2 linked regions of the Arabidopsis thaliana genome follow. The protein of the gene in region 2 interacts with the protein of the main gene of each other region in a pairwise test. Each region holds a gene or a part of one and is shown on either strand. Other genes may lie near its edges.

Region 1 (3,224 bases), on a different chromosome or scaffold from region 2:
GTGCTTGGCATGCCGCGGTGGTAGGTCAGGATGGAAGAGTGTGCACTTGGGGTTGGGGAAGATATGGATGTTTAGGTCACGGTAACGAGGAGTGTGAATCAGTCCCTAAGGTTGTTGAAGGTCTAAGCCATGTCAAAGCAGTTCATGTCGCAACAGGAGACTACACTACTTTTGTGGTCTCAGACGATGGTGATGTTTACTCGTTTGGCTGCGGCGAATCCGCTAGTCTCGGTCACCATCCATCCTTTGATGAACAGGTTAGTGATTGGCCATGGCCTCCATTGTTTCTTTTGCTTACATTATATGTTCTAAACTTATGTTTAGTCGTATGTCTGGTTTGATTTTTTGTTGCAGGGTAATCGACATGCAAACGTGCTAAGTCCAACGGTAGTAACATCGCTAAAACAAGTGAACGAGCGGATGGTCCAGATAAGTCTAACGAACTCCATATACTGGAACGCTCATACATTTGCGCTCACGGAATCGGGGAAGCTATTCGCGTTTGGTGCAGGCGATCAGGGTCAGCTTGGAACAGAGCTTGGTAAGAACCAAAAAGAAAGGTGTGTACCGGAAAAAGTGGATATCGATCTCAGCTAGCTAGCTGACTTATGTGGTTTGGTTGGTAAGAAACTACGTTTGACATCAAGGAAACAAAAACGCAAGAAAATTTGCGTTTGCTTTTTATGTTCATAAGACTTGGAAGCTTGTACAAAAAGGGGAATAACATAAACTTGTCTTTAACATTTCATTGTATAGGGTTTTTAGATTATTCTAATTGTTCATTGGTTAAGTTTTAGGTTATGTTGTTAATAATTATCAAATAATTTCATTAAATCAAATTATTGTCAGATTCAATTTCTACCAAATTTTTATTTTATTTTCTGTTTTCATATTTGTTGGGTTTACATCTATATATACATTTTTGCAGCCATTTTGTGATTTACATTTATATATACATCAATAAATCATGGAGTTGGAACTTATTTACAATGGTTACCACTGGCTTATTCAATGCGAAAATTAACTATCAAATAAAAGCAAATCTTATTCAAAAGAATATGCTCTTATTCCATGGCCTAGTTATTTTTGCCAAAATGGTTAAAATATTTAAAAATTAAATAATTATTTGAAAGAAAACTTTAAATTGATTTAAATTATAAATCTTTTAATAAAAATATTAATAAAAAAATAAAATAAAATAATTTCACCGAACATGATTAGATAGTAGGACTAGATGGTATGACATGTTTATAATATTATAATATATAAACTTTATAACAATTAAATAAATATTTGAAAGAAAACTTCTAAATTGATTTGAATTAAATATTTTTTAAATTAAAGTATTATTAAAACAAAAATAACAAAATAATGTCTAATTTTACTGAACAGGGTTAGTGGTAGGACGGGTTTGGTCGATAGTATTACGAGACGGTATACCACAAGTGAAATCCATTAGATATGTTTAATTTCATTGTGCATGATTAGATGGTATGACGGGTTTTGATCGATAATAATACGAAACGATATACTACGGATGAAATCCTAGATATGACAATTAAAATCTATATATATATTATCTTAAACACTAAATAAAGCAAACAATATTAATAAAACAAATATCTACATATACATTTTATATAACAAATTTTATTAAAAACCTAGCCCCGCGGTATACCGCGGGTCAAAATCTAGTTAGAGTACTAATATTCTATCGAAGAAAAATCTAAAATCCTATTTCTCAAATTGTTTTTGCTATATTTGATAAGATTAGAATTTAGAAAAAGCTTAATTAGGAGTAGAAGATAATATGTAATTTGCAATTTTTTCCTCAACCTTTAATATTTTTGGCAAAACCTCAAATTGCGTTGAGTCATCTTAGCACTTTGATCAAACAACTATATAAGCAAAGACCCTCATTACACAATTCAAGATAAATAAATAAAACAAAATACCCATAAAACATTTTTCAAAAAAAAAAAGTTTTTTGGGGATTACTAAATAACTAAATTAAAAAATAATGGCGCGTCTTCACCTAGCTCTCCTCCTCCTCTTCGTCGCTATCTCCGCCGTGATCGTATCAGCTGCTGAGAACGAAAAACCACCGTCAACCACCACCGCCTCAGCTCCCACCGCTACAACTCCAACCGATGGCATTGGAGGTGATATAGCAGAGGGTCCAGCTGATGACAATGCTATTGGAACAACTGACAACGACGATGCAGCTGTTACTCCCGATGATGCCAATGGAGATGATGAAGTGGCAGTCGCCGGACCTATTGGAAGCGATGCTTCGTACGCTAACTATCCTCCACCACAAAAAGAAGCTTCCGGAAGCGATGCCACCGTAGCTTTTGGCTTTGTCTCTGTTGTTGGTGCAGTTGCTGGATCGCTCTTCTTTTTCTAGAGTTGTGATCGGCGCGCGAACTTATTACTATTGTAATAAAAATGTTTGTAATATTTTCTTGTTTTAGATGTATTTTGACGATCCCTTCTTCGATGTAACATTGATTATATTGGGATGATACATATTTAATATACTAATATAAAGAAAGTTTTTTATTTGTGGGGTTAATATATTTCTGCATCTCATAAATTTACAAAAATAGCCCACAATATATGGGCCGTATTTTCTCACAGGGCCTAGCCCATCAACGTGTGAGTAAGCGCGTGTTTTTCACGTCTAAAAACCTCCATATCTTCTCCGCTAGCTCCGGAATAGAAGAAATTTTGCAGAGAGAAGCGTCAATGAAGGTCCAACGGTCAACTTTTTTGGCGGTGACCGGAAAATCAAATCTTCATCACTTTCACTCGTCTTCTCAGGTTCTCTTTTCTCTTCTCTGCGTCATCTAAATCAATTAAAAATCGTTCCTTTTGTCACTTCTAAGAATACCCATTTGCAATTGCAGAAAAAAATCTGAACTTTTTCTGATTTCATTGCGTTTTGGGGATAATGTCTTAATCAATTTCAGAGAATTCCCATTACTTCCGAGATCGATTCACGAGAGTTTGTGTCTAAATTACTCGATAGAAAATGGGGATTACAGTGTCCTGCATCTCCAATTCAGCAGATTAGTGTTTCTTCTGTCAAAGGAATCGATAAATTCTCCTTCTTGAACAACACTCGTCCACATCTCGGAGATGAAATGTCGAAGTCGAAGCAAGGATCTTCTTTTTACATTCTTAGAGATGATCTTTTACATCCTCTTGTGAATGGTAACAAA
Region 2 (3,759 bases):
GGCCAAACCAGACGGAGTCACCGATTCCACAGCAGCATTCCTAAAGGCATGGCAAGGGGCTTGTGGCTCGGCAGCATCAGCCACGGTGGTGGTCCCCACGGGGACATTTTTGTTGAAGGTAATAACGTTTGGAGGGCCATGCAAGAGCAAAATCACATTTCAAGTGACCGGAACCGTCGTTGCTCCGGAAGATTATAGGACCTTTGGCAATTCCGGTTCCTGGATTCTCTTCAACAAGGTTAACAGATTCTCACTGGTCGGTGGGACTTTTGACGCTCGAGGTAGTGGGTTCTGGTCTTGCCGGAAATCTGGCCAGAATTGTCCTCCCGGTGTTAGGGTACATATGCTTCTCCTCTATCTATAGTTATTGTAAATAAAAACAACAATCTGACATTCATACATAAGCGCCACCAGAATGCAAAAGAGCAACAAATAGCTTTAATCATTATTGATTAGTAATAACTAAATAAGTCAATATATTTTTTTTAATAGTCAAATAACATATCTTTATTCCAATCATTTACTTACGATTAAAAAAAAAAAGGAATTAGTTGATAGTTTTCAACTATATTAATTCAGGCACATTTAATTTTCAATATGATCTATCCATGCCATTTTTAGGAATTTATTTTATAAGCATATAATAACTATTATGATAATGATTTTTGGACAAGGAAATGGATTCTTTGGTCAAAATAAAATGAAATATTTATAATCTTATTATTAATCTATGGCGTTTATATATTAATTACTGTAGTCAATATCGTTCAACTCCGCAAAAGACGTGATCATAAGTGGAGTGAAATCGATGAACAGCCAGGTTAGCCATATGACCCTCAACGGTTGCACCAATGTGGCCGTCCGTAACATTAGGCTGGTGGCTCCCGGAGACAGCCCAAACACTGACGGCTTCACCGTTCAGTTCTCCACTGGAGTCACATTAACCGGAAGCACCGTTCAGACCGGAGACGATTGTGTTGCTATCGGTCAGGGGACCCGCAACTTCCTAATTTCCAAGCTTGCTTGTGGCCCAGGTCACGGGGTTAGGTATACACCACCGTCTAATTCCTTAGAGTAAATTATGTAAATATATCATTAATTGTTAGGAATCATGAATTTCCAACAAAAAAAAAACTAGCAATATTGCCTTCACTCACTCTGGTCACAACTCATATGATGATGTGATGACTGGCAGCATCGGGAGTTTGGCAAAGCAGTTAAACGAAGACGGAGTAGAGAACGTGACAGTATCGAGTTCGGTATTCACCGGATCACAAAACGGCGTGAGGATAAAGTCATGGGCGAGGCCGAGTACCGGATTCGTTAGAAACGTCTTCTTTCAAAATCTAATCATGAGGAACGTCCAAAACCCTATCATAATCGACCAAAACTATTGTCCGTCCAACCAAGGTTGCCCTACTGAGGTATATCCATATCATATTTTTGATCAATTTCAGACTAATCAAATATGCTATATCAAATTATCAACTTAGTCAAATAACTAAAGATTTATTATGTTTATGGTATGTATTAGCATTCGGGGGTGAAGATAACCCAAGTGACGTACAAGAACATACAAGGAACTTCGGCGACGCAGGAAGCAATGAAGCTGGTGTGTAGCAAGAGCAATCCATGCACGGGAATCACATTACAAGACATAAAGCTTACTTACAACAAAGGAACTCCTGCTACTTCCTTGTGCTTCAATGCTGTTGGGAAAAATCTTGGTGTTATTCAACCTACTAGTTGTCTAAATCGATGAATTTATTTGGGGTTAAGATGATATCACTGTGAAATGTTATTAGGAAACTGATTTTTCAAATAGTTTTCTGTAACAAGGTATATGATCACCAATTTCTGTAACATACAATTTTTTTTTTTTTATTAATAAAATATTATTTTCAGTAACCAACAAAGTGGAAGACTTTGACTTGTTGTCACCATCACATTGTGCTTTTGCTTTTTGGTCTTTGATTTGGACAACAAAAATATAAAGAAATTAGAGAAAAGAAGCTTTAACTGGATATAAAGTTTTAAACTGGAGATAATTGACATAGTAATTAAGAATTTGTTGCTTCAAAACTCAAAAGAAAAAGTAATCACTAATATTACTAAAGATTTTGGAAGTTTAGCGAAATTAATAAAGAAAACAGCTGAAGATGCAGTCACTCATCACAGTCTCTCTCTCTATCTCTATATCCTGAGAATCTTACATGATTTGCCCACAAAAAGCATTGAGATTTACAAATCAATCTATTGGGTTTCAGCTACACTCTACTGAAATCAGCTGCAACCTTTTTTTTTTTTCTCTCTCTTCTTTCATCACATCGGTTTGAATCTTTACAAGAAATCTGGAAATCACAGGGAAGTCAGGGTTTTCCATTTTCAAGCTGGTTCTGTTATTACGAAACACGGGTTGCTGGAAAAGAGCTCACGGATTCTTCAAACAAAGTTGGCATCTTTCAGATTTGGGAGAAAAAGTTGTTATTCAAGATCTTTGTGTAATCTAAGGGAGAAGCATACCATGAGTTCTCTGGTTCCTGTTATGGAGAAGCAAGAGAGCGTTCGAGGTAACTCTGTGGAGGAACAGCAGAGTCTCAGATGCGTTGGTGCAGAGAATCAGGTGAGAAAGGGAAGAGCTTTGGACAAGCAAGTTAGTTTCCTAGCTGTGAATGTTGTTGAGAAACATGGAATCAAAGGAAGAGCAATGGAGAAACAGGAGAGGGCAATGGAGAGGCAGAGAAGCTTTCGTGGGTTTGTTGAGAAGCAGAAAAGCTTTAGGGTAGTAATGGAGAGACAGTTAAGTTTCATGAATGTTGGTGGTGAGAGGAAGAAGAAGACTGACTCACCTGGTAAAAGAGGAGATTCTCCTCTTCATCTCGCAGCTCGAACGGGGAATTTGGGAAAGGTTATGGAATTGATTCGAGCTTGTAACGGCATTGAAGAGTTGAAGGAGTTGTCATCAAAGCAGAATCTAGAAGGAGAGACCCCTCTTTATAGTGCAGCAGAAAATGGGCATTCATTAGTTGTTGAAGAGATGTTGAAACATATGGATCTTGATACTGCATCAGTTAAAGCTCGCAACGGTTTTGATCCTTTCCATGTCGCTGCAAAACAAGGCCATATTGGTAAATGAAACTTTAGAGAATCTGATAATAACTTGAAGACCTTGTTATTGTTGTACACCTTCTTGACATATATCTTTGAATGTGTGCTGTCTTTTGCAGAGGCATTGAAGAAATTGTTGGAGACATTTCCGAATCTGGCTATGACGGTGGATCTATCGTGTACAACTGCATTGCACACGGCTGCTTCACAAGGACACACTGATGTGGTGAATCTTCTTTTAAAGACGGATTCTCATTTAGCTAAGATAGCTAAGAACAATGGTAAAACCGCACTTCATTCTGCAGCGCGAATGGGGCACAGAGAAGTGGTTAAGTCTTTGATAGGTAATGATGCAAGCATCGGGTTTAGAACTGATAAGAAGGGACAAACAGCGCTTCACATGGCTGTCAAAGGTCAGAACGAAGGGATTGTTCTTGAGTTGGTGAAACCTGATCCTGCGATTTTGAGTGTTGAGGATAGTAAAGGGAATACGCCGTTGCACACTGCCACAAACAAAGGCCGTATTAAGGTATCATCATCGCTAATTCCCCCTCCCCTCAGTTTCTCAATCTACAAGAATTCTGATGAACTGCATTTTGCCTTTGCTTGCAGATAGTGAGATGTTTGGTATCATTTGATGGAATTAACCTT

What was found.
Region 1: the proteins of AT1G05640 (region 2) and AT3G26110 interact in a protein complementation assay, tested with the Arabidopsis thaliana proteins (one large-scale study listed by BioGRID).

The regions. Positions count from the first base shown.
Region 1 is NC_003074.8:9,539,553-9,542,776, forward strand, and holds AT3G26110 (Anther-specific protein agp1-like protein), read left to right. Parts: upstream 1-1,930; 5' UTR 1,931-2,020; coding exon 2,021-2,407; 3' UTR 2,408-2,612; downstream 2,613-3,224. Other genes in the region: AT3G26100 (Regulator of chromosome condensation (RCC1) family protein), read left to right, coding at 1-257, 355-597; AT3G26115 (Pyridoxal-5'-phosphate-dependent enzyme family protein), read left to right, coding at 2,749-2,823, 2,973-3,224.
Region 2 is NC_003070.9:1,688,267-1,692,025, reverse strand, and holds the start of AT1G05640 (Ankyrin repeat family protein), read left to right. Parts: upstream 1-2,070; 5' UTR 2,071-2,524; coding exon 2,525-3,128; intron 3,129-3,227; coding exon 3,228-3,637; intron 3,638-3,720; coding exon 3,721-3,759. Other genes in the region: AT1G05650 (Pectin lyase-like superfamily protein), read left to right, coding at 1-337, 758-1,047, 1,196-1,424, 1,535-1,762.